7 linked regions of the Xenopus tropicalis genome follow. The protein of the gene in region 2 binds, or shares a complex with, the protein of the main gene of each other region. Links are inferred from orthologs where the notes say so. Each region holds a gene or a part of one and is shown on either strand. Other genes may lie near its edges. The genes, in order: med26, med4, med25, med18, med16, med19 and med13l.

What was found.
Region 1: med4 (region 2) and med26 share a complex: the UniProt entries of both Homo sapiens proteins name them as parts of the mediator complex. The link is inferred for Xenopus tropicalis from reciprocal best matches to the Homo sapiens genes MED4 and MED26.
Region 3: med4 (region 2) and med25 share a complex: the UniProt entries of both Homo sapiens proteins name them as parts of the mediator complex. The link is inferred for Xenopus tropicalis from reciprocal best matches to the Homo sapiens genes MED4 and MED25.
Region 4: med4 (region 2) and med18 share a complex: the UniProt entries of both Homo sapiens proteins name them as parts of the mediator complex. The link is inferred for Xenopus tropicalis from reciprocal best matches to the Homo sapiens genes MED4 and MED18.
Region 5: med4 (region 2) and med16 share a complex: the UniProt entries of both Homo sapiens proteins name them as parts of the mediator complex. The link is inferred for Xenopus tropicalis from reciprocal best matches to the Homo sapiens genes MED4 and MED16.
Region 6: med4 (region 2) and med19 share a complex: the UniProt entries of both Homo sapiens proteins name them as parts of the mediator complex. The link is inferred for Xenopus tropicalis from reciprocal best matches to the Homo sapiens genes MED4 and MED19.
Region 7: med4 (region 2) and med13l share a complex: the UniProt entries of both Homo sapiens proteins name them as parts of the mediator complex. The link is inferred for Xenopus tropicalis from reciprocal best matches to the Homo sapiens genes MED4 and MED13L.

The regions. Positions count from the first base shown.
Region 1 is NC_030677.2:112,239,084-112,243,339, reverse strand, and holds the start of med26 (mediator of RNA polymerase II transcription subunit 26), read right to left. Parts: upstream 2,801-4,256; 5' UTR 2,656-2,800; coding exon 2,584-2,655; intron 1-2,583. UniProt on the Homo sapiens protein: Component of the Mediator complex, a coactivator involved in the regulated transcription of nearly all RNA polymerase II-dependent genes.
Region 2 is NC_030678.2:134,878,375-134,882,414, reverse strand, and holds the start of med4 (mediator of RNA polymerase II transcription subunit 4), read left to right. Parts: upstream 1-1,240; 5' UTR 1,241-1,241; coding exon 1,242-1,312; intron 1,313-1,382; exon of another isoform or gene 1,383-1,416; coding exon of another isoform or gene 1,417-1,532; intron 1,533-4,040. UniProt on the Homo sapiens protein: Component of the Mediator complex, a coactivator involved in the regulated transcription of nearly all RNA polymerase II-dependent genes.
Region 3 is NC_030683.2:117,444,694-117,447,491, forward strand, and holds part of med25 (mediator of RNA polymerase II transcription subunit 25), read right to left. Parts: intron 2,726-2,798; coding exon 2,642-2,725; intron 1,787-2,641; coding exon 1,610-1,786; intron 1-1,609. UniProt on the Homo sapiens protein: Component of the Mediator complex, a coactivator involved in the regulated transcription of nearly all RNA polymerase II-dependent genes.
Region 4 is NC_030678.2:78,266,575-78,270,550, forward strand, and holds the start of med18 (mediator of RNA polymerase II transcription subunit 18), read left to right. Parts: upstream 1-1,176; 5' UTR 1,177-1,330; exon of another isoform or gene 1,331-1,336; intron 1,337-2,285; 5' UTR 2,286-2,302; coding exon 2,303-2,375; intron 2,376-3,976. UniProt on the Homo sapiens protein: Component of the Mediator complex, a coactivator involved in the regulated transcription of nearly all RNA polymerase II-dependent genes.
Region 5 is NC_030677.2:100,791,866-100,796,033, forward strand, and holds the start of med16 (mediator of RNA polymerase II transcription subunit 16), read left to right. Parts: upstream 1-1,368; 5' UTR 1,369-1,680; coding exon 1,681-1,816; intron 1,817-3,383; coding exon 3,384-3,491; intron 3,492-3,679; coding exon 3,680-3,849; intron 3,850-4,044; coding exon 4,045-4,168. UniProt on the Homo sapiens protein: Component of the Mediator complex, a coactivator involved in the regulated transcription of nearly all RNA polymerase II-dependent genes.
Region 6 is NC_030683.2:55,853,112-55,857,113, forward strand, and holds the start of med19 (mediator of RNA polymerase II transcription subunit 19), read left to right. Parts: upstream 1-1,202; 5' UTR 1,203-1,289; coding exon 1,290-1,533; intron 1,534-4,002. Other genes in the region: tmx2 (thioredoxin-related transmembrane protein 2 precursor), read right to left, coding at 746-934. UniProt on the Homo sapiens protein: Component of the Mediator complex, a coactivator involved in the regulated transcription of nearly all RNA polymerase II-dependent genes.
Region 7 is NC_030677.2:145,408,500-145,411,999, forward strand, and holds part of med13l (mediator of RNA polymerase II transcription subunit 13-like), read left to right. Parts: intron 1-1,147; coding exon 1,148-1,484; intron 1,485-2,809; coding exon 2,810-3,029; intron 3,030-3,500. UniProt on the Homo sapiens protein: Component of the Mediator complex, a coactivator involved in the regulated transcription of nearly all RNA polymerase II-dependent genes.

The sequences.
Region 1 (4,256 bases), on a different chromosome or scaffold from region 2:
GCTCCTAAACTAAAAATGTAATAACTAAAGAACTACAAATAAAAAAAAAAAATTAAGACCAATTGCAAATTGTCTCAGAATATCACTCTACATCATATTAAAAGTTAACTTAACTGTGAAAAACCCCTTTAAGAAACAGCATAAAAGCATAACCCATACCATAGGTATGAACAGGTCACCTAGGTGCCTCATAAGCTATAAGGAAAAAAAAAAGTAAGCCATAAGCAATGCCTCTATACAGAAAAAAATCCAAACACAAAACAGCATGCTTGTTCTCAAAAAGCATGAACAAGTAACATCTCATCTTTCAGTTATTCTATGGGTTTAAAATAAAAAAAAAAAACAAAAAAAACTCTTAACTGTGACAGTTTATAATAATTTTATGGTGTAGTGTACAGTGTCTTTCGGATTAACAGATTCTTCATTTAGAACCCGTTATTCTAAAACATGTTGTGCACTACACAATAACATCATATGAGATTCATAAGGAGTTCTCCAGTGAAAATGCAAAAACATTAAAAGGGTCAAAGTAGCAACCAGGGTTAAAAATTGCTGAACAATTCTGCAGGCTAACAAACTGATTACAATAGGGCTACTACTATACCTAAAGCCAAAGGTGTAGCGATTTACTGATTTTTTTCCCGAACACTCCCAAAAGTGGTTACTGAAAGAAAGGAACAACACTTACAAGTACCTTCCTCTAATGCATCTATCAAAGAGCCCTAGCTCTGTACTGCTCAGCACCTTTAGTTGTTATTTTTCACACCTGTGTAATACAGCGCAATAAATATTTAACTATTTGTGAGATATTAAAAAATTACAAATCAATTCTAATATAAAGCATACCCAACCTAAACAATATATGCTTTTCTGGAAACCAGGATCCTTTATCACAGTTGCCTAAATCTATTTTTACATGTGCTTTTGTTTACCTACAGCTTAAAAATTCCCATGCAGACACAGGCCTTTCAAAAGTACAGCTACCAAATACAGACTTTCAGAAGGTATGTGTCAGCATTAAAGACACAAATTAATTCAGTATGTACATACCCATGTGTCCCTCACCCCAAAATAACTTTGAGATGCTTCTGGCATTAAAAGGTCCAAATCCTTTCTAAATGTACAAGCTGTATATCTCCAGTGATACAGGAAATACACATGTATTTAAAGCTATAACTGAAAGTAGGTTTTCAGCAATAGATTATTATCAATTTAATAGTAGTGTTCACTCTTTATAGTAAAGGCTTCAGTAAAAAAAACCCTCAAACTTCAGAAGTTGTTTACAAAGAGATTATGCTTTATAGATACATGTTAATAATGGTTACAAATCTTATCCTGCAATGTACTTCAAACTTTTGCTACATAAGTGCTTTGCAGAATTAAACTCTATAGGTGCCGACGCATCCTGCCAATGCTAAAATAAGTATCAAGAGAAGATAGAAAGTGCAGTAGATTATATACTGTAAACAACAGTGAAAGCTTTTACAAATTTGAGACATACCAATAAATTGTATTGCTGACTGCAAATTACTTGGCCTTCTAATTTGTGGGAGTTGTTACACCTCAAATATAACAGCACATACAACAACAGGTCTGTATATAATGCAGTTATAAATGCCATACACTTCAGTCAAAGATAAATCGGTCACATAAGGACCCATGACAAATCTCTAAATGAAATACAATAAATAGCATTCTGAACTTTCCCTGTTCTGTTTCTTTGAGAACAGATCTCTCAGTTTAACAAGCACACCGCCTGCCCACACCAGAGTAATGCCAACAACATGAGATAAATGCACCCTGTCCCCACAAGCACACATCTGCACTGCCAGGAACATAAGAATATGCCAAAGGAGTGTGTTTTGGCAGTCCCACCGACTCGGGCATCGCAAGCCTAGCCAGCAGTCTGACATGTGCCGGTGCCTACAAGGGCAGTCTGCTAACTTAAGGCCGCGACTAGGCCCTATCCCCGACCTCGCCTACAAAGTAAGGACGGATGTGCTCGAATATACAGAGTCGGATTAAGAACGCGAGATGGCCTAAAACAAGCGCCAGGGGTCCCTGCTACAAAGGACTGCAACCCCAGATAAACGCCGGGACCCATAATCCTCCATTCCCCAGTTGCCCACTTCCTGCTCAGCTCTCAGGCTTTATACTCGTCTCTCACCTACCCACAGAGAAGGGGCTCTCAACTAGCTGTTCCTATCGAGCTCTGCCTTACCTATAGCACTCCACTGTGGGCTTCTCAGCTCCCGGCATGGTCAGTGCCACTGCCTCCACCACCCTAAGGCTCTTGCACGTTCTGGCTCCAGGGGACTCGGTCTTTCCCAGCCTCATGTGACCCTCAACTAATAACCTGGAGCCAAAAAGTGCATTCCAGAGTAACGACACCTCTCTTTTCCCCAGCCCTTAGCCACCAACCACCCATAATCAAGGGATAGTGTCACAGCAGCCTCCAGTCACTCTCCGTCAGCCCTTTCCCGGTCGTCCCTAGTCTAGCTTCTCACTGCTGGTTCAGAGGGTTTCATCAAGTGCCGAAACCCCGTGTTGCGCTCTTTCCACTCCCTGTCCCCCCTGACTCACGTTGCTTTGCGTATCGATGGCCTGCAGCAGCCTCTCCCTGATCTCCCGCGGGGTTACCGGAGCGGCTGTCATGGCCTCAGTCCGGGGATCACTGCGGAGGGCGGCGCGGCATGTTCCCTGGGAGGAAGGAACACGAGTTCCCGGGCGCAGGGAGAGCAGCGAAGAAGCGAGAAAGCCGGAGACTCCCAGACGCGTCTCTCCCGATGGAGTCGAGCGACCGGGAGTCCCGAGGCACGCCGGGAAGTCCGCCGCTGCACGCTTTGTGACGTGACGGTAGCGGCGTCCTGGCGTCACAGTCCCCCTAGGTAGCACGTACGTCACGCACGAACGTCTCTCATCTTCCCCCTCAGTAGGAAGTGTCAGACACGACTTAAAGCTGTCATTCGTCTTCGGTATCCATGGAGAGAGGGGGCAGCCCGTGCGCCTGCTAGCCTTTAGGCACCTGAGTTGTTACTAGGCAAGATGCATCACTTAAAATAAACACTGTTGTCTACCCTGCAACTTTTGTGCAGTAGACTATAAGCCTAGCTGGAAGGAGGGGCTTATTTAACTACATCACCTCAGTCAGCGACACTGAAACAGAGCGACCCGTGGGTCGTTATGAACTACTATGGAACTCTTTGTGGAATTCTGGGAGTTGTAGTTCATAAGTCATACGAGTAAGTTTGCAGGAAAAAGAATCGAACGTTTGTTTAGAAAAGTTAGCTAGAAGTGCTACACATATTGCCATATATTCAAGTGAAATCAGGTTACACTTATTTCAGCCCTGCAACCTGCATATGTTAGAATTGTCTGGGTTTTGTTTTATTTAGTTTGTCTTGTAACCTTATCTCAGAGACAAAGGTTAGATTCAGAAAATATGGAGAGGCAGACGTTCTACGTAGCCCTCTAAAACATATTCATTACCAGTTTTTTCATTCTCTACTGAGTTCCAAACTGTCTCTGGAACCTATATCAGTACAAGAAATATTAGTAGCTGCACACAAGCTAAATATCACCATGTAGAGTGCCATGCATTGCCAGTTGTTGTGTAAAGCTGTATAACACTGGACAGCAGGGAGCTGGAAATGGGTTCTCTGAAATGATGAATCATCTTCACATATGGCAGTCAAGCAGTCATTTCTGGGGTGGTGGGTTCCAGACAACTTAGTTTGGTGTAGGACTAGTGATCAGGGGATAATTATTGTTTTGGGTTAGTATTCTTGGTTTCAACAAGGAGACATTAGCGCTATAGTGTACAATGGTATTCGTGGATATCGTTGATGCACAGGTGGTCAAAATAAAATTGGTAAGCTTCCCATCTGCATAAAACTTGGTTTTTGTGTTTGGGTCTTAAAAACTTATTGATGTATGAATATTGAAAAAATGCAATATATTAAGGTAGAACTCACCAACAGTTTCTTGAGGTCCGGGTGCTCAAGCCCCAGACCTTCAGCTCAGGGGAAGTGATAGACACACTTGGATTTCAAATAAGGCTGGCATAAGACTGGACTGTTGAAGCAGATGGTGATGCAGTTAAAATGATGAATTTATGTAGTAACAAGACCTCTCAAAAGGACACGTCTTACACGTTTGGTGCCTTATGGGGCACTTAATCATAGGCTAATGATTAAGTGCCCCATAAGGTACAAAATGCATACGGCTTGTCCTTTTGAGAGGTCTTGTTACTAAAT
Region 2 (4,040 bases):
GGAGCTCTCCGTGCCAGTGAAAGAATCCATCCTTAAGCTGCGAAAACAGAAAAAACCCATCCGAGAAATTGTTACAATATTAGGAGTGGCAAAATCTACAGTTTGGTACATCCTGAGAAAGAACGCAACCATTGGTGAAAAAAAGACCTGGACAAAAAGACCTGGACGTCCACAGAAAACAACAGTGGTGGATGACCGTAGAATCATTTCCAGGGTGAAGAGAAACCCCTTCACAACATCCAACCAGGTGAACAACACTCTCCAGGGGGTAGGTGTATCGATATCCAAGTCTGCCATAAAGAGAAGACTGCATGAAAGTGAATACAGAGGGTGCACTGCAGGTGCATGCCTCTCCTAAGCCTCAAGAATAGAAAGGCTAGATTGGATTTTGCTAAAGAACATCTAAAAAAGCACAGTTCTGAAAAAACATTCTTTGGACAGATGAAACCAAGATCAAATTATACCAGAATGATGGCAATAAAAAAGTATGGAGAAGGCGTGGAACAGCTCATTATCCAAAGCATACCTCATCATATGTAAAACAAGGTGGAGGCAGTGTGATGGCTTGGGCGTGCACGTCTGTCGGTGGCACTGGGACACTAGTGTTTATTGATGATGTGAAACAGGACAGAAGCAGACAAATGAATTCTGAGGTGTTCAGAGACATTTTGGTGAAAAGGGTGAAATTGCCCTTTAAGCTGCCAGTCTCAGTTCCCCTAAGAGACAAATGTGTGAATTTGTATTCTCCTGAATCTCATGGAAGAAATGCTCACGTTTTGTTTACCAGTGCATTAAATAGTACTTTTGTTTGTTAAGGGGACCGCACTGTGCCATCCATGAAATGCTGGAAAACAAGAAATGTGAGTGTCCCAATATGTCCTGCCACCATGTCTAGACATGCTTTGGCCAAATGCTGTGATCATGGCCGTTTGTTTGGCTGAGGACCATGAGTAGGTTTGTGAATGGCACCAATGTGAATATGACTGAAAGCTCATCACCAGGTGAGGGGGGGGGGTTCTCCAGCCTCCACCCATAGGCCCCAGTTCAGTGAATTTGCCGCAGCCGACATCTACATCACTGCCCAACTGGCATTTGCTAGTTATGTGAGTAGGATCGCTAAGTTCCATTAAATTACTCTAGATGGCGCTGTGAAAAACGTCTGCGCTTTTCGACAGATACTTGTTTCTCTTGATTCCTTCCCGGAACTGCTCGTTAGCCCCGCCTCTCTTCCATCCGCAGACATGGCTGTTCCGGAGAAGAGCACGAAGGAAAGGCTGATGTCTTTCCTGGACGACTTGGAAGTGCTGTCTAGGTGAGGGCGTTATGCGACACGGGCATTTTATTTCTCGGGACTGCACCTAATACTTTGGAGCCAATATTGTTTCTTGCGTGGCTTTCCAGCAGCTGCAGAGCCAAATGCTTGGCACCTTACGAGCAATGAAGTTCGGAATTCCACTGTGCGGGATTCTTTGTTATAATAGCGCTGTGCGCTTACAGAGCGTTGCCCTATTATCTGGCCACCTAAAAGCCCTGTAAGTTGGGGTTTGTCCTTCCTGCTGTTCTTACTGCACAGTGGGCCAGAATAATATCTGTAAAGGGCCCCGGTTGATGTATAACGGTGGGTGGGGACAGGCCATCCCATGGGGAATAGCAGTGGCGCACAGTGATACATATGGATGTGGTTTGGCGCATGAATACTTGTCTGATCTTCCTTCAGGTTTCTTTTAGGGTGGCACCACCCCTGGTTTCCGACTGTTTTATTAGAGCCCCTTGCTCCTCAAGGTGCTGAGGAATTGCCTTCTTCAAACCCCCCTTTCCTTTAGTCAAATGGCAAAGTAAGACCTGTTGCTATTGCTTCAGCGTTATATCAGTCATTGTGGGAAACATGGGATACACTGTAATGCACCACAAGGAAAAATGACACTTTATAAAAAATACATTGACTCATGTTGCAATTCTGTCATTGTATGGTAAGCTACACAGCAGTTTGGTGTACACTAGCTCCACTGCGCTACTCTGTGTTTTTGGAAAAGCAGACAGGGCTGTATTAGAAGAGTTCATTGATGTGGTACAGGAAGGGGGAGTGTGGCTCTTCAGGGCAACTACATTTTATACTTGGCTATTGAACTCTTTTAAAGGAGAAGTAAAAGTATATTCACCGGGGGTGCCAAAATTGTAGGCACCCTGATGTTATTATAATGTATGTATGTATATCTTTATTTACATTAATACAAACGGGGTTATTAAGATAATAACAGAAATTCAAAGGATAACAATATATACAAATAAATACAAGATACAGTTGCAATAAGTTAAGAGCCAAAGACACAAAAGTATGGAGGTCCCTGCCCCGTAGAGCTTACTATCTATATAGGAGGGTATTTTTAACTATAAGTGCTGTAGGTTACAGTGGGTGACAATATAAGTGCTAGTTCCCAGATCAGGTGCTGGGTGAGTGCTCCAAGAGGTAGTCTTTAAATTTATCTTTGAAAAGACTGGGGGAGGATTCTCTCCCGAGGAAATCAGGGAGGGCATTCCAAATGTAAGGAGCAGCAAGGCAGAAAGGTTTAAGGCAGGAAACTGCAGTAGTAGTGGGGGGTGCAACAAAGCGGTTGCTCTGCGAGCAATGAAGGAGTCGGCCAGGAACGTAGGGAGACACAAGAGAAGAGATGTAGTAAGGAGCAGAGGAATTGAGGGTTAAGAGAAGGAGTTTGTAAGATATTCTTTGTTTAATAGGAAGCCACGATAAGGACTTTAGCAGGGGAAGGGCCTGAACTCTCCTGGATGAGAGGAGGAGAATTCTGGCAGCAGTATTTAAAGGAAAAAGAAAGTCAAAGTCACCAAAATGTTAGGCACTCCCAAGTGACTTTGACCACCTACCTTTTACCCCGGGCTGGTGCCCCTGTGAGGAGGGAACAGCACCAGCCCGGGGTAGCTGCCGGCGCTTCCTTCTTCCTGATTCGCTGCGCGCGCATGCGCAGTAGAGTGAAAAGCTGAACTTAAACATTAAAGTCGGCTTTTCACTCTACTGCGCATGCGCCCACCGCTGGCATTTCAGCAACGGAAGCAGGAAGAAGGAAGCGATCCGCTCCAGGTACCCCGGGCTGGTGCTGTTTTCTTCTAACAGGGGCACCAGCCCGGGGTACGAGGTAAGCAGTTAAAGTCACTTGGGGGTGCCTTACATTTTGGCACCCCCAAGTGATTTTGCCTTTCGTTTTCCTTTAATATAGACCAGACCCAACCTTTCTTACTCGTGAGCCACAGTCAAATGTAAAAAGACTTGGAGAGCAACACAATTAAAAAAAATAACTACCTGCTTTGGGGGCACTGAGAGCAACATCCAAGAGGTTGGTGAGCAACATGTTGCCCCTGAGCCACTGGTTGGGGATCACTGATATAGACTATAGGGGGAAAGATGGGAGTTAGGGAGGTGGTTAGTAGCAGGTTACAGTAGTCAAGTCGGGATAGGATGAGAGCATGCATGAGCAGCTTAGCTGTTGCAGTAGTAATTGCTTACCTGAGGCCTGGGGTTCTTCTGTAGGAGCTTATTTGTTGCCACCTTATTTTGCTTCATACTTCTCTTGAGCCCTGGTTTGGGTGCGCATACATGGCAGAGTGAAAAGCTCAGTGAAACAACAAAACAGCTTGTCACTGTACTGTGCATGTGCACTGGCCAGGGGCCAACAAGAAGGACGAAGAAATGGAAGATGATGATGTGGTGCTCCTACAGATATCAGACCTCAGGCCAGAACAGTTTTTCACACACAGGAGCACCAGCCCATGGTATCAGGCAAGTGATTATCATCACTGGGTGCTGCTTAACATTTGGCACCCCCAGTGATTTTTAACTTTCATTCTTCTTTAAGCTATCATTTGACACAGGAAACCACAATTTTGGAAGTCAAATATTTTGTCTGGCTGTTAGATCCTCTTATATTTGGGGTCTTTTTATGACTGGAAACTGGCAGGTTTACCCCTGGTTTCTTCCCCTATTTTGGACATGAAGTCATTTAGTTGGGTTATGTAAAAAATGTGCATAA
Region 3 (2,798 bases), on a different chromosome or scaffold from region 2:
TTTTACAGACAAGAAAGAAAAAGCACTAAGTTTGGCCAGGCACAGTAACCCATAGCAACCAATATGATGTTTGCCTTTAACAGGTAACCAGTAAATTCTGCCCGCTGATTGGTTGCTATAGGTTACTGCTCATGGGCAAACGTAGCACCTTTTGTAACATAACCCCCATTGCCACTATTGTGAGGAAACAGCTGTGGAACATGTGGCATTTACTCATGGGGGATTCTCTCCCTCTCCCTGGATGATGCATTTTTATATATATTTTGGAAACCTGGCATATCTATATGCAATATGAATTGACTGAACTGCAACTAACCTCATAATTTCATAGCATAGAAAACTGACGGAGTACATATCTTTATGCACTACGTACTTACTGAACTGTAACAAACTACACAGTGGATAAATTGTGCCTCATTAACGGGAACTTCATTAACAAGGACACAACACAGGTGGGAATCACTATTTATTATTAATATTATTATTATAATAATAATAATAATAAATAGTGATTCCCGCCTATTTTTATAAATTCAGTGGTGGTGTTGTCTCAAGTTGTCTCTTCCGGACCAAAAATGTGTTAAAGAGCCCCACACAACACAGAAATCCCTAAAATACCGGTCACTTTAATCTGGTCCTTCAAACAGTATGAATAAATACCATTTTATTTGCTGAAATCCAGCTGCAAAACAGTTCTTCTCTTTCTACATTTTTAATTGATGAATTATATTTACTTTTCAAAAAGCTTAAGTTGTGTTTGGGTGGAGTTCCCCTTTAAGAGATAGCCAGTACATTTTGGAAGGCAGATATGGGATTACTAAGGGGCACATTTACTAATCCACGAATCCGAATCTTGAATGGGAAAAAATCACATTGGAAACGAAAATTTCAGAAGATCGCAAATATCACGAAAATGCTTACGAAAAAATCGTATTAGTCACGATAACATCGTATTGGCGATCCGAAAGTCACGAAATTTTCGTACCGAACAATTGCAAACAGCGGTAAAACCTTTCCCTATTTTTTCGTGCGCCGTACAAAAAAGTCGTGCGGACGCCCGAAAAAATCCCGAAAACACGCTCGGAGCATTCGTGCTTTTGTAAATGTGCCCCTAAGTGTTGTATCTAGGTAGAAGAATAAAACTGGCTCATATAATATAATATATATTTATTTTTATTTCTTCCTACCATATAATATCAACATTAGGAGGGGCCTGTCACTCAGGAGTAGGGGGCATGGTTTTAGCCTTAGGATGAGGTTCCAGGAGCTACACATAAAGATTCAGTACGGTATCCTTAATATCCTAAGCAGATCAGCCATTTGAATTTTCAGCCTGTCACACTGTGGCTCAACAGTGCCTGTTCTTGGGAATGTAGTAGTTTCACTCACCCCCATAGCCCAACATCAACAATGCTGGACATTCTATGATTAGTCTTCTCTATATAGCAGTGGAATTTAAAAGGAGCAACTTAAATCAGTCACTTCCCCAGCTAAGCTTACAATTTACATTTCCACACCATTCTGTCCAATTGCCAGTTATGGTAAATGCTTTACTATCTGGAAGAGCTATAGGGGGAAAATATTCCCATCTGGTTTCCTGGATACTTACAGGCTGCTGGCTCAGGAGGAGGTTGCGTAGCTGTGGGTTGGCACCAGGGTTTTGTGGTCGGAGCATCGCTCCTGGCTGTGGGTTCTGAGGCTGGCCAGGTGCTTGAACGGTGGTTTGTGTGGCTTGTGGTGGTGCCTGAGAGGCTGCTTGCTGTGGTTGCTGTACTCTGATGTGTAACTGGAAGAAAGCAGCATAGTCATCCTTGTGTTATTGTCAAGCAATCATCACTAATATAAATGATCACTCATTTAGTCCCATTCCCCCCACCCCCCTCAACAAGATTTGAACATCAGCTCATAGCCGGAGCGGAGTCTGACGCTACTGCTCTAAAGTGTTCTTCCACCCATGCACGGCAACAGTAACGTTGTGTTATACTACAACTCTCAGCAGCGCATAGACATGTGATGGCTCAGGCACCATCATGGAACATGTAGTCCTTTAGGGCTGCAGACTGACCATCTGTTTATCAGAGAAAACGTATCTGGTTCTCCTCCAGATGTTAAAAGGATTTTCTACTCAGAAACTTTATTATATTTTCAGAAAGGAAAAAAAAAAAGGTTACTCCCCCCTTGACATGAGTTCATCGAAGTTGGGTTTATGGATAAAATGTGTAGTATAAAAAAAAAAAAACACTATCTGAACTTCCAGAAATATAAAATAAGGAGACCATTATAGTCCCCACCCCTTGTGCTCACAGCGAAATTCAACCCCTCCCTTATCTTGTTCCATTGTGAAGTGATGGATTCTGGTACTTGAAGTCCCCCCCCGCTTTGGTGGGTAGTGCACAGATTATATTTATTTCTGAAAGTTCAGACATTATTTAAGCATTTTCCTACATAAGGCCAACACGAATGAGCTCAGGTCAAAAAGGAGGGTATAGTTTCCCTTTAAACAATTTTTAAAATGGATGAATATTTAAGAAAATAAAATATTCTGTGAGCTATTTGGTATTTGGCTGAATCCAGGCATTTTTATCTGCTGCATCCATAGAAAGTAAAATAACAGATTATCTCAAGAAAAAGAAAAACTCACCAAATTCTGTGTTCTCTGTTGCTCATCCATCATAGTGACTTGGCTAATGGAGGGCATGCCCGGGGCTACCTGCTGGCCTTGCATCTGGAGAAATGAGCAGATTGTATCATTCTCTCTTCTACAACCATGTTATCCCCATATATAAGAAGTAACACCA
Region 4 (3,976 bases), about 57 Mb from region 2:
TTTCACTTTGTGCTAAAAATTAATCCTATCTGTAAAAATGGCCCCTTTATTGGAGCTCCCTATAGATTGTATCACTTCTCCGTCCAGTGTGAAATGAAGAGTGGGCGTGTCCTAATGGTCCCTTCCAGAAGCACAGTAGGAGGGGGAGAGCCAATCACAACCCTGCACTCACACAAGCAAAGACAGGCTTCAGTTCCCTATCAGGTCAGCCTAGCTGCTGATTGGTTCCTATCCTACAGTGTAGTGTACGGAGGGCCGCCGGCTCCCCAGCTCATCCAGAGAATTCAGCCAGCAGGAAGTGGAACTGATGGGCGGGACTAGTATGGTTTTGGTGGAATTTCTCAATAAATCAGGTGAGTGATGGAGGCATGGTCAATCAAGTCAGGGGTGGGGTTATGACGGGTGATCGGCCACTGGCAACTGTCAGTCTAAGAGAGTCTTGCCCTGTTTCCCTAATTTGAAAAACTGGGCAGGGAGTTTTGCCCCAAACAGTCCTCCCAAAAAGTGAGCTGTCCGAGTCAAACAGGGCAGGTCCTGAAGAGACAAAAATCAGTATTCAAGCTTTACCATTGTCATCTGTTCTGAGCAAGAAGTGGACAGACTTGCATATTTTTTGCAAGTTATAATTGAGTCAAAATTAAGCCACCAGTGCTAGCATTAACCAATGTTATCACATATTTGTAATTGCGCCAAGACAGGTTTAAGAGCAAGTAAAGATCTATGATTTGTACTAAGATATATGGTTGCCAGTAGTAGGGTGGCCCGATTACTTTAAATTTAGGGACATGTCTAAAAAATCCAGCTAGCAGGGCTGTATTGATTTTAAATGCAATCAGTGCTGCCCTGCAACATGTATTTATTAGACGTGGTCCTGAATTTTCAGTAATCTAATCACCCACCAGTAGGGGAATTTTTGGTTTTGGCAGATCGTATTGGCTTCCTACGAAATAAGGGGCAAAATACCCCCCTCCCCCCACGACTGCGTTAATACCTTCTATTTCGAGCGTCCTCTCCTTTACGGCACATACAAGCGTGCTACGTCACGGCCCAGTCTTCCGTGCCTCAGCAGGCACCCTGGTGCCCCGCCCTCACCCCAAGTGCGTCACACGCACGCAGTACGCAAATGCAAAAGCTCCTGGTGTTCTGGAGCCAGCCTCCTGAGGACTTGAGGGAGAGTTGTTTTATGGCGGGTTAGCCGTGCACTTAGGCACCGGAACTTAACTTATTAGCTGCTTGAGCTTGCTGGCTGTGCTCTAAATGAAGTAATTGATCCCGTCGCATCCCGGTTCCATTCACTTATTTACAAAATTTTGTCGGGCACTTTGTTTTAGTAAGTGTATGTATTTATCAGCTGCCGTGTTTGTACCTCTGTGTCTTTATTGTTAATGAATTGTAAAAAGAAAACACAGCTCTGCATATACAGTTATTACATAAAAATGTACACACAAAACACCTAGGATTGCTGTCTTTTCAGTAGGAAATGACTGGCCTTACAGTCTTTGTTTTACTTCCTGCTTAATAACTTTGGAATAACGTTGGGATCCCCAAACCTTATTATGCATGAACCACATAGAAAGGTAAAAAGAGTTAGGGAGGAACACACGCATGTGAATGTTCATGGGGTGCCAAATATGGGCTGTGATTGGCTATTTGGTAGGCCCTATGTGGACTGGCTAATTTGAGGCTCTGTTTGGCAGTGCACCTGTTTTTTTAACCATAACTTGCCTCCAAGCCAGGAATTCAAAAATAAACACCTTTGAGGCCACTGGGAGCAACATCCCAGGAATAAAACAACATTTTGCTAGCCTGGTAGTACTCTACTTAACAGATCTAAAAGTGGGATGACCCCCATTTATGTCTATGTGAGGCTTGTGCACATAGTGCTATGTCAGGTATTGTTAAAGGAGAAGGAAAGGATGAATCACCGGGGTTGAACTCTTTGTGAAAGATTAGGCAAAAGTAACCTGATTTTAAGGATTTGGATATAGTTTGGCCTGAAGCTTGGATTTGGCTGAACCCTGCTGAAAAAGGCAGAATCTTCACCAAATCCTGAATTAGGTGCACCCCTAAATTAAACCATACCTAGGAAAGTAGGAAAATAATCTGAAGCATTGTACTGGCAAAGTGAATGCAATTGTTTCTGTTTTTATTCAGGACAAGTTCAGGCTGGAGGGGGGTTCTAGTAGAACATAAGCAGTGCAGTATTAGTGGAGATTCAGCCTTGTCTTGACTACAATTGTAAACATATGAATATTGTGTATAATATATTTGTTTTGTTTATTTAGAGAACTAACATTTTGCAATGGAGGCTCCCCCAGTCACAACAATGCCTGTATCTGGAGGAACTATTAACATGATGGAGTACTTACTGCAAGGTAAGAACAGCCTAACAAACTGTACTGTTACTGTATTAATGGTATTAGTTTGTCCCCTCTAACCAAAAAGTCTGTTTAGGCCCCTGTTTGTTTAGCAAGGTATACGAAAACATGGTTCTAGTAGTCACTGTATATAATTTTATAGCTGTCAAAAAATGTAAATAGCATTTGGTCACGTCACGGCCCGGTCTTCCCTGCCTCAGCCGGCACAAGCCCTGGTGCCCCGCCCTTACCCCCAAGTGTGACACACGCATACAGCTATGCAGAAGATCCTGGTGTTCTGTATATAATTTTATAGCTATCAAAAAATGTAAATAGTATTTGGTCACGTTTACAGAAAATAGCCTTCTGTCTCGGCATATCATTCCATTTCTTTTTAGCCCCAAGTAATGCCAGTCCTGCAGTTCATTTATTTTCTGTTTATTATGTTTATATAATGCCAACCTGATGAAGCACTAATTATTAGTCATTTACAAAAGCCTCTGCTCACCATTGGAGCTGCTATTATAGGGTCGTAATTAGTGATGCCTTACCCACACATGCCTGGCATCACTGGAGTGGAGGGGTTTGGCAGAATAAAGATATAAATAGGATGGTAGCCAGCTAGTGGAGTGCTGCAACATGCTGACATCACAGGGTGGTACATGGGTAGAGTCAGGACTAGAACAAGAAAAGTGTTGCACCAGCCCGATCATGCCCAGCCATTGGGTCCAGACATTTTAGGCTGGTCTGTGCAACACTAGTCTCAATCAACTTCACACAACAAAGGTTTGATTAAATTAAAATTTGGTTTATCTGTATGTTTTTCGAGAAAAATAAAAACATGCAGACATGCATAGATATTCCTGTTAGATAGTGCCTAGATAAAAATCAAACTCATGGCATCTGTGCTGAAAGGCACCAGTGGTAACCACTGGTGCCTTGACATGCACTGATAAAATCCTATGACTTTACAGTAAACTCTTTTGAGCAGGACCCTGTTTTACCTCTTGTATTGGTTATTGGTTGTATTCCTTAATTTTTTTCTTTTTTAATTGACAATTTTTTTGCATCTAAAAGTTTAACTCTCAAGATTTGCATTATATCTATATGTATCTCAAATACTGAATGTGTCTGTACGTGAATCACAGGAAGAGAGAGCATAGAGAGAGAAGGAAGTGAAGTAGGAAGAAAGAAAAGGAAGAGAACAGGGGAAAGAGAAAGGAGAAAGAAGAAAGAAAAAAAAATATGAAGAGCAAATAATATAAATTATTAGCTATAATTCCTGGATATCAGCCTCAGTAAAGTTCTTCCATGAGTCCCATTGCATTGTGATATTCAAGGGTTTGTGAGAGGTTGATAAAGTTTTTTAGTTCCAGCATTGAGGGAATAAGATCGGTTTTCCATTTTTGAGCTAAAAGAAGCCTTGCTGCTTCTAATATGTGTACTGCAAGGAGTTTGTTGCTTAAAGGAACAGTAACACCAAAATATGAAAGTGTTTTAAAGTAATTGAAATGTAATGTACTGTTGCCCTGCGCTGGTAAAACCGGTGTATTTGCTACAGAACGCTCCTATAGTTTATATAAATAAGCTGCTGTGTAGCCATGGGAGCAGCCATTCAA
Region 5 (4,168 bases), on a different chromosome or scaffold from region 2:
TGACTTCTTTGTAGATACACTGTGTATCTCATCCCACAACAAGTGGGATGAGACACAGTGAAATCTCACTTTTACATTCCCTGATTTTGCCATATTTCACATTTCCACAATCATTTTTTGGAGGGGTCTGGCGCACACAGGTACCTGGCCACCACCCTGGCAAATATTAAGCAGCGGGCACCCTTAACTTTATCAATGAGAGTGACTATAGAGCAGGGGTGGGCAAACTTTTTGGGTCAGGGGCCACATTGACTAACAGACGGGCCGGACCGGGCCGGGACAGCGTTACGCCCGGGGCTGCCATCAAAAATTATGGGGCCTCTCAGCTCCCCCCCAGCATCCTTCATGACCTGCGGCTCCCTCCGCCAGCGACCCGCTGCTTCCTCCGTCCCGTCCTTCTGTTCCCCGGCTCCCCAGTGCATTCTTTTATATGGTTGCGCCCCGTGTGTGCTGACGCTATGCGCATGCATGGGGCGCAACCAATCAGGGCCCGTCATTCTTTTAAGGGGGCCGGAGACAGCGGGCCATAGTTTGCCCACCCCTGCTATAGAGGAACCAGACCCTATGGTCCAGGCTGCCCCTGGTGCCCCCCCCCCAACCATGGTGTCTGCTTCCTCTATAGTTACACCACTGACTGTAGGAAGAAACCATCTTCACAGCATAATAAAGGGGGGAACTAAAGATTTTTAGTTTTTAAATCATAATCCTGTGTGTGTGTAAATCTATATATATATATATATATATATATATACACAAACACACACACTGTTCACAAATACACATTTTTTATTAGATGAGTGGAGAATATATATATATTAAATTAAAATAGTCCCAAATTACATTTATTTCCAAAGTAAAGTGTGAGCAAAATGTAAATGTAAAAATAGAAAGGTTTATTACTCAACGATTGGGTCTCACACAGAAGCCTTCATCTGGAGTGAAAAACAAACTAAATACATATATATATATATAAATATACATGGTTTGTTTTTCACTCCAATATCCATTTGATAAGATAAGTGCAAAATATGGAACGCTTCACGAATTTGCGTGTCATCCTTGCGCAGGGGCCATGCTAATCTTCTCTGTATCGTTCCAATTTTAGTATATGTGCTGCCGAAGCGAGCACAAACATACCTTAGCGCCGGTTCTTATTTAAAGCCCCTAGCTTTTGATTCGGTTATATTGGAGTGACAATTTTGTATGTCTATATGTATATTTACACCGAGCAGCAATAAATATTACTTGATATTGTTTTATTTACTGGGTACATGAAAAACAGAAGAGAAAGATTGAATTTATAGCTGCAATTTAGGCATTTGCCACGATGCACGCCGGGAGAGGTCGGCATGCTAATCTAAGGATGACGCCATCGGAAAGCGACATTGAGACGCTTATTCCGTGAGACGCACTAATGTAGCCGGGAACTTTCATTACTGGTTTTACGTAGAACCTTGTTATCCTACGGGATTCTGGAACCAGCAGTAACCAGAGCAGTTTAGTAGCAAATCCCCTACGCAAGGTTCTAGCATATTTTCGCTTTTTGACGCTTCTTGTCGTCCGCCTTCGTTTCTTATAGCTGCAGTCAGTCAGTCCATTCCCAATGTAAGCCATTGTGTTTCTGTTCCCCCGATCTGTAGCCCTTCTCCCATAGTTAGTAGGTGCGTGTTTGCTGTCAGCATGGATGTGGGGTACGTATGTGAGTGGGACAAAAGACCACGGACCAGTCACTGCCCATCAATCCCACTAGTTTGCGCTTGGTCTTGCCGCAATCTTATTGCTTTCACTACAGATCAGCGCAATGAGGAGGAGAAAGGTAACATCTTTTTGTTATTACAGCACCGCTCTGTGAGTGTGATTATATGTGTGTGTATTTCTATTATTTAGTAACTGTTATATGTCTACTTTTCTCTCTCTATCTATAATGCATAAAACAATTAAAAGACAAACCAAAATGAGTCTTACCCAGTGTTGGACTGGATACCAGGAGAACTCATGGTGGGCCCAGGTGTCAGTCTCCTGCTCCTGATCATTTGGCCTGTTTCATGGTCATTCCCTATTTCTGAATGGGAAGAAAGTCAAGAATTAGATGGAAGAATAGATGCTATGTAAATAAAAGAGACTTGGAGAATAAAGTGGTTGGGTGGGGAAGGAGGACAAATAATTTGGAAAGTGGGTCTAAGGTTTTCTTGTGGGTCCCTGGGTTCCCAGTCCAAAGCTGGTCTTACCAAAGAGCTTGGATTGCTTGGATTACATTTTTATATTACCATGTTTAAAATGAACTAGGTTAGTATATTAAGGGTATTTGGGTCACTAGAATGCATAGAATGCAGATAGATGCATAGACGCAGATAAAAAATTAAAGCATCTGAATCTATAGGCATACACATTACGGTTAGGCAATGCCTTTTACATTACATTAACATTTATTTATAAAGCGCCAACATATTCTGCAGCGATGTACAATAAGTGGGTTACATACATTGGACATACAGAGTAACATATAAAGCAATCAATAACCGATACAAGAGGTGAAGAGGGCCCTGCCCAAAAGAGCTTACAATCTACAAGGAGAAAGGGTTGAGACACAATGCCTTGCACCAATATAAAAATAGAAAGTATTGCTTGTAGTGGAAGCGTGGCAGCTTGAGACCTAGGTGCACAAATTCAGACCCAGGAATGTGTTACTGCAATAAATTCTACTTTTTATTTAATGTCATTCTGTGCCACTTTGTATTGTGGGGAAAAAAAATTCTGCACCTTACCCCCCCTTAGTAAATAATCCCTGCCAGCAGGCTCAGACTGCCAGTCTGTGGGTTCTGGCAAATGCCAGAGGGACTGCTGAAAGATGCCATAGACAGTGACTGTGTAGTAGAGCGCTAGTTGGGGGCTATTTGAGCTTTTGTGTGCTGAAAATGCTAGGGCCTATTTTAAATCTCAGTCCAGAGCTGCCTACTAGAATGTTAAGTGAAGAAGTGTGTATTCTCTCACAATAGTTGGGTCGTGTGAGCTGTAAGAAAAGTGCTTGTTACTGAAAAAATGCTAAACAATTGGCTGTAGTTAGCCCTCCTTCCCACCCCCATTCATTTACCTTATGAAATTTACATTGAAGTGCAAAGAGTTCATCTGTCTTCTATTATCTTTCTAAAAAGTTCAACTGTACTCAAAATCAGGCGTTTTACAATGCACAAATTTAAGTATATATTTTATGCTCTCATTGAATATATTCTTATTCGTTAAAGCAAGTATAATTTGACCATGGAGAGTTGCAACATTGCATAATTCTCACCAGATTGTTTGTTTTCCAGGGTTTTGATAAATTAAAAAGTGTTTTTACAGGAATATGGATAAATCTGAAATAACTTGATTTTTTTTCTTCTCAGATATCACTAATTTGATCCATATCCTCGACACAGAACATCCGTGGGATGTCTACTCTATTAACTCTGGGCACCAGGAAGTTATTACCAGCTTGGAGTGGGACCAATCTGGTACAGTAAAACAAATTGCTGGGCTTTTTGATAATAAACAAGAAAACCATATAACTTAAAAGGGAAGGGCAGAGAGCAAAGGGAAATATGAAGAAACAAGATAAATGTGGGAAGCAGAAAATGAATCCTTGAAGGGACATAGACAGTAGTGTTTGTAACTGTTGCTTTGGTTTTATTGGTATTTTTAGGTTCCCGCCTGCTCTCAGCTGATGCAGATGGTCGAATCAAATGCTGGGGAATGACTGATCACTTAGCAAACAGCTGGCAGAGTCTTGTAGGCAGCGAAGTGGATGGAGATCCCATAGTAGCTCTGTCTTGGTTGCACAATGGAGTCAAACTTGCTCTCCATGTTGAGAAGGTGGGTGAGATAACAATGAATATTTACATTAGTATTTATATTTAGTTGTTTGTATGCTCTTTTCTTTCACTTCACTTCACTTTGCTTATCCTTTTTGTTGTTAAGCAGAGACCATTATTTCTTTTGTCCCCTAACCATTATTTCCCTTTAAGTAGGCATTTACCACCCTTAATACTGATCTTTTTTCTCCTGCAGTCTGGTGTTTCCAGTTTTGGAGAAAAGTTCTCACGCGTGAAGTTTTCCCCATCTCTTACTTTGTTTGGTGGAAAGCCAATGGAGGGTTGGATTGCAGTCACAGTCAGTGGTTTAGTTACAGTGT
Region 6 (4,002 bases), on a different chromosome or scaffold from region 2:
GACCCCAACACCCCTCGACCCCTGTAGTTTAATAATCTCCTGATCAGAGATTGCAGGTTTGCTCCGGGTAGTAGGGGTCCATTAGGTACTCAATGTGCACGTTCTATTAACAGGAAGGCGAAGAATTGATCCATGCCAAGTGTTTCTATTGTGCATTTGTAAATAAATACAAGATATATATGTCTTTATCTATGACCCTGCAATGAGGTATCAGCCCCTACTTGAAACATAGATTTATTAACCTGCAAACCATACTGCATGGAGATTAACTTATTATTGGTAAAAAAAAAAAAAAAAAAGTGTTTACTAGTGTTATACTAGGCTTTCAAATGTTAGCCATAAACAGTCATCCAGTTAGGGGCTATAACCTCAGCCATTATGCTTGTCCGCCTCTACATCTCAGGGTCCTAATTAAATACATTTTAGAGGACTATACGCAGAGTTCAAAGGATGAAAAACGAAACACTTACGTAAGGTTTTATCAGCTTTTTCGGCCTATCAAACAATTAAGTAGATCAATCATATCTGACCCTTAAATGTACAAACCAAATACATCAAAATTCAGCAATAAATCACTTTTCAATCAGAATGTACGTAAAATACCACTAATAAAAAGCCATCATTCTCAGCATTTCAGGCATGATAATTATAATAGAACAAATCTGAAGAAACATGGAAATTCATGATATAACAGTTTTCGATGCATTAAACCATTCAATGTAAGAGTCACCTTGAAAGTACATACCCAATCAAAGTCGCATGGATTTCCGTCCTCACGCTGTGTTGGTAAGACGCTACACACCGGGGGTACCTTTCTAACCAGAAGAAAAGATACAGACAATAACGCAGAAAGAAGGTAATAGGGCTGCGATACCCAGCGCAAAAGCCCAGGAACTGCATATAAAAACGCGAGAAGGGGTGCAAGCACAGCCATTGCCACAAGTAACGCTGATTATCTGGGAAGGAGACTCATCCAATTACATTAACTATATCGAACTGCTAAAAAGAGTGAGGTCCAACCCAACAAAAAAACAGCCAATAAAGATCAGCACAGTAGGACGTAAATCCGGAAATAGACAACAGCTAATCCAGAAGGAGTAGTGTCAGGCGTTTAACCAATTGATAGCAAGCAAGCACAAACAGCACATGCGATAGGCTGGTATGTGGAAGTGACGTTCATATTCGTCTCTTCAATGACGCTTAAACGTTTAGGAGGGGCTTAACATAAGGTTTAGGTTCATTGGTTGAATAGTAGAAGGGCTGATGTGGTTGGTTTCAGTTGCAAAGTAATGGAGGGATTTTCTGGTCTATTTGCAGCTTCTGAGCCCTCATCTATCCCTTCTGCTCCAGGGCCCCCCTCTGTTGTTCCAACATGTACTGGTGCGTTTGTGTCAGGAAAGACACAGACTTCAACTCCAACAGTACCTGGTCCTCCGCTGCCGATCCCTCCGCCACTTTCTTCTAGTTCTTCTGGAGAGGATAGCTCCCGAAGACCTGCAGCGGGGCCCTTCTATATTCTTGGTGAACTTCCAGGTGAGTGTTAACAAGCATGGGTGCATAGGACCCGTACTAAACGTGTGCTAAATGTCTGCTATGTGGCAAAATCTGAACCGCTGGGCCTTGTCTTGCTGGAGCATCAGGAGAATGGTGTCTGTGGTCTTGCTGACATGTTGTTTTGCCTTCTGATGGCTAAATCCATGTCTGGGCTGGTAAACGCAACACGATTTTACTAAGAATCTTGAATCTTCTTTTTTTTTGTATGTCAGTCTATTTTAAGCATCTACAAGGGATTTACATTTAGTCATTAGAAGAGGAAACATTTTAATTATTAATAGCATTTTTGTAGATACCCTTTTCCAACATCGGACTGGGCTGTGCCAGACCTATTGGGTTGGCACTCAAACTGGCACCCCAGGGAGTGCCAATTGGGGGAGCGCCAGTGCATTGTTTCTGGGTTGGCTGGGTCCACTGGGTTTTTTACCTGCCATTTCATTTGGATCCTGCCCTTTTCTGCTAGCGTTATCCAATGTGATTCAAAAACCATCTCAAAGAGTTGCTTATTACTACACCTTTTGTGTGGTAAACTTATTATTATTTGTCTTTCTTTTTCTAAATATGTGTATTTGGTGTCAAATATGATGACTTGAACTTACATTAAGTGCTTAAATTAAAGTGGAAAAAAGTGGAGCCAGACCCAGCTTCCTTCCTCTATTTCAGGGGTAGGGAACCTATGGCTCGGGAGCCAGATGTGGCTCTTTTGATGGCTGCATCTGGCTCGCTGCCAAATCTTTAATAAAAAAAATAATGGGGGGCGTGGACTGTGCTCGGTGGATAGAAGACGTGTTCTAAACCTTAGAACACGTCTTCTATCCACCGAGCGCAGGCCACGCCCTCCTCTGCATCGGATCCGCATCAGGCATCCTTGGGACCCACCTTACCTTGACCCACAGGATCCGCGGCCAAACATATTGTATGGCTCTCACAGAATTACATTTTAAAATATGTGGTGTTTATGGCTCTCTCAGCCAAAAAGGTTCCCGACCCCTGCTCTATTTAGAGACCCGTGCCTGCCCCACAATGATGTCACAAAAGAGGCAGGCCTTCTGGGAGCGCGCCTATAAATAGAGAAGCCTGAAGAGAGCTGCTGGCAGTGTAAGGTTGCGAGCGGAAAAGCTCGGCCCGAACCCGCAGATTATGTGCCTAGGTCAGCTTGAACCCGGCTGACCCGCAGGTATTGGGCCGGCCCATACATCACTACTGCCCAGAATTATAAGCCACACCCACTGTTATAATACACTTTGACCGCAAACAAACTCTGGTTTTATTGCCTGCTAATACACAAAGCAATAACTAAATGCAGTGCTTCCTTCATGGGACCTGTTATCCAGAATGCTTGAGACCTGGTGTTGTCTGGATAAGGGATCTTTTTGTAATTTGGATCTCCATAACTTAAGTCTGCTAAAAATCCTTTAATATTGAATAAACCCAATAGGATTGTTTTGCCTCCAATAAGGATTAATTCTAACTTAGTTGGGATCAAGTACAAGTACTGTTTTATTATTACAGAGAAAAAGGAAATAATTTAAAAACAAATTGCTTATAATGGAGTCTATGGGAGATGGCCTTTATGTAATTGGAAATTTCCGGATAAGGAATCCCCTACCTGTATATAAGTGCAATACCAAGTTCATGTATAATGCCCCCCATAACACTTAAAAGAGAACTGTCATGAGCTATAAACCCTTCCATCTTTCTCACTGTTATAATTCAAATAAATACAAAATCACCTGTACCAAACTGCATTAATTTTTAATGTAAAACACTTATTTCTCATTTCTAATTGTTTTTCAAACCAGGCATTTTCAGAATCTGAAAGTAGGTGTGTCTCTTCTGTAGCACTTGTCATCCCAGCGTTCATTTAGGCCAGGGGTTGCCAATATGTCGATTGCGGTCCACCGGTCGATCCCCCCTGGATTTCTGGTGGACTGCGACAAAGCCAGAGATGCGGAAGTGCTGCGTGAATGCGTATGTACGCACTTACGCATTCCCCAGTCAAAAAGTCTGGCCACCCCTGATTTAGGCCTTTCCACATATCCTGAATCTTAGGTCCCCTCACCTTCATCATCTCTGTGCACCACAGTTAAGTTTCTGTTGTTTGCAGAGAGGTATGCATTGTAGTAGCTGTAGGCTGTAAATTATAAGGCCAAGAAAGGAATACTGTGACAGTAAACGCACAAGAATAAAGGAAGCGTTTTGTGAATCTTGAGCAGGGGTCCCCAACCTTTCTTAAGGTAGCTGCCGATATCGGTCCCTTGGAGCGATTCGGCAGCTAATCGGGCCATGTATGGGCACTCCCAATGGGCCTGCCCGGCCGATATCTGGCCTGAAATCGGGCAGATCTCGATCGGGCAGGTTAGAAAATCTAGTTGGATCGGGGACCGCATTGGCTTGTTGATGCGGTCCCCGGACAGACTTTTCTGCCATTTTAATTCGATCGTTTGG
Region 7 (3,500 bases), on a different chromosome or scaffold from region 2:
GTGAGCCAGATAACTTCCCATCTGCATACTGCACCAGATTTAGTTTTTGTCCATTATTCTTTATTTTTTTGATAAAACAGTTTGTGAGGTTCTCTCGCTGTTTTCCAACCCACTGTAAAAACCAGCTTGATCTTTGTTTTAATAATGGTCCAGGTTATTTATTTTTTTAGAGGTGTGGGGCTGTAAAAACCAGCTTGATCTTTGTTTTAATAATGGTCCAGGTTATTTATTTTTTTTTAGAGGTGTGGGGCAGAGGCTGGTTTCAGGCAATTTGAGTGCCATGTTATATATAGGCAACAAAAACCTGACAAGCACTTGTGAGGTGATTCAAATACAATTACAGTTTTGGGACCGGTTATCCAGAATGCTTGGGACCTGGGGTTTTCAGCATAAGGGGTCTTTCTGTAACTTAGATTTGTACTAAAAAAATAATTTAAACATTATTTAAACCCACCAATATGGATTAATAATTAGTCGCTATCAAGTACAAGGTACTGTACATTAAAAATTTTTAACTATTTGCTTAAAATGGAGTCTATGGGAGACTGCCTTCCCGTAAATCTGAGCTTTCTGAATAACAGGTTTCCAGATAACTCTGATCCCATACCTGCACCTTGTAACAGTATATGTGTTTGTTAATATAATGCCACAGAATACCGATCACCTTTTTTCTCTAATATTTAGAAAGGATATTTCTGACCTTTTGCCGCTCACCATCAGCAGGTGATGGAGGGGAAAGGGGGTTGAGTTTGACTAAAGGTGTGAACCACTCTCACTCCACCATGTGATAATGTAAAAAAAATTTTTGTCGGTGGGCTGACTCCTTAACATTATGCCATTTGTTATACTATTGTGAACTAGCACATTAAGCAAAAGTGGACCGTTTGTAGTTTGTTAAAATAAAGTACTGTGGGCAAATTCATTGCTTCTTTTTCAGCGTTTTGGATAATGGGTTTCTGAATAATAGATCCCATAGTTGTAATTTGTAGTTACTATAACTCTTTTAATAAACACGAGAGGAAAATAAAAAGTCACAATTGCTGTTTATTATATGCGCTGTACAAAAGGGATTAGCTGGAACCTTACATTGATGTTATGACATGGATGTGTAAGTTTTGCTAATGCCCATTGTCTTTTTCTGTTTTAGCTCCTTACTTATCCACATTGCAACTAGACAGCAGCCTGTTATTACCTCCTAAGAACCAGCCACCTACGGTACAAACCAGCTCAAGCCCAGCTGTGCCGTCTTGTCCTACTGGTGTTCTTTTTAACACCACTCCTAATGGCACAAGTACTACTCCTTTACCACCACCACCTCTATCCTCCTCCACATCTCTTCCTGCTGGAAACAGCACAGTACCCACTGGGTTCAATAACTGCCCATCACAGAACACTTCAAGTATTGTGGAGCGACCATTAGGAAACCAGACCACAGGAGACCCAGAGCCTAGCCAGCAGTCCATGCAGCAAGAGACCCCAGAAAAGTAAGTACAGATGCTGTATTAAAATGAAATTAAATATTTGACTTCTTGCCCAACACAACAGCAGTTATATGAAAAACCTGGTAGTCAGTTCTTAGAAGGGGATATGGAAAACAAAAAAAGAAGCTTTGTAAGAACTGTAAAAATGTACTTTTGAAACTGGGTGAGAGAACACTGACATTTCCACTGCAGTCAGTAAGTCAGACAATTCACTCCTGTACCTAGAGATTCATACACATTAGGCATCACTAAATTATTGCTGACATATATATGCATGTTTATGTGTCTTCACTTTGGGCCTGATTAGCAGTAGCAGCAAAAAGCTTTTAAGGCTTTCTATGCAGTATCCCACATGACTCCAAAGACAGTAGCATGTTTCAGCAGAAATTGCCCTTATCCTTTCCCGCTTAGATTACTGCAATCTCCTACTAACTTGCCTCCCAGACTCCCACCTCTCTCCCCTGCAATCAATCTTAAACTCTGCTGCCAGGATCCTTCTGCTCTCTCCAAAGAGGGAACCTGTTCAGCCTCACTTAAGCTCTCTTGCATGGCTGCCTGTTAAGCAAAGGATTGCTTACAAAATCCTAACATTCAAAGCCCTTCACTCCTTTGCTCCTCGCTACATTTCTTCACTGGTCTCCCTGCATGTTCCTGGTCGTCACCTCCGCTCCTCTCAGAGCCTCCGTCTTTTTACACCATTCACACCCACTGCGCTCTCTCGTCTTAAACCTTTCTGTCTTGCTGCTCCTTACCTCTGGAACTCTATCCCTGAATCCCTCCATAGGGAACTCTCACCCACTCTCTTTAAGAAAAAGCTCAGCTGTTACCTTCTGGAGCACTAAAACATTTTGCCTAGTCCTGCGCTTAAGGGAAAATGCCCATACCTGGTGCACTCTTACCTTCCAATTTGTGCTTGTATGTTACCCAACCACTTAGATTGTAAGCTCTACGGGGCAGGTACCTCCTTCCTACTGTGTCTCATACCACATGGCACTTATTCCCTGTGCATTTATATATTTATTGTATTTATTTATTATATCACTTGTCCTCCTTCTGTGTAATTCTGTGTATTGTAAGATTGTACAGCGCTGCGTACCCTTTTGGGTCTTTATAAATAAAGTTATACATACATACATGTATTCGTTTTTAGTATTTTTGTATTGCTTATTTTTTCTTTTATATGCACTGTAAATAGACTTTTTTAATAATAATATTAGTAAAATCCTGTCAAATATTTTTATGATTCAAAGGATATTTTGCTTTGTTTAATTTAGAAGGATTTTTAAACATATAATATACAGCTTGTATTGTCTCTTTTACATTAACAGTGCCACTGAGCGGGAGAAAATTGGCATTCCCACAGAACCAGAACCAGCTGGAGCACTCAGTTCTTGTCCAACAGTAGTTATATACATGGTGGATCCATTTACATACACAGTGGATGAAGACTGCCACCCTGGGAACTACTGGATGCTTGGCCTGATCAGATGTTTTACTGACATGCTGGAGAGTTTACCAGAGCCACTTCGATCAGCTTGCATACTTCAGGTAAACATTGTTTGTTTTTTATGTGTGTTACCATAACCTTTATGTGCTTTTCACATAGAGCTTTTATAAGACTTTTCTCAAGACTTGAATCGCGCTTGCTTGCAGTGACACTTATAATATAGGGGGGTGGTGGCAAAGAAATGATTATTATTTAAAAGATCTGTATACAGTGGCACCCATATTGTACGGCAACTTTGTCGACATTTTACTATTTTCCCAGGCAACTGTCAGCAGACATAGACACGCAGATGTGTCGAGTAAAACTGTTCGTATTGTACTCTACTGCTCATGCATGAGTCTAAGTTTGTGCCAGGGACACCTGGGAATAGCAAGTAAAATGGTGGAGCTTTGCTACTTTTTTCCCTGGGCTGGTGCTTCTCTTATTTTTCCTAAAAAGAGCACTAGCCTGGGGAAAAAACTTACTGACTGAATTCACTTGGGGGTCTACCATAAATGTTTAGCATCCTTGTA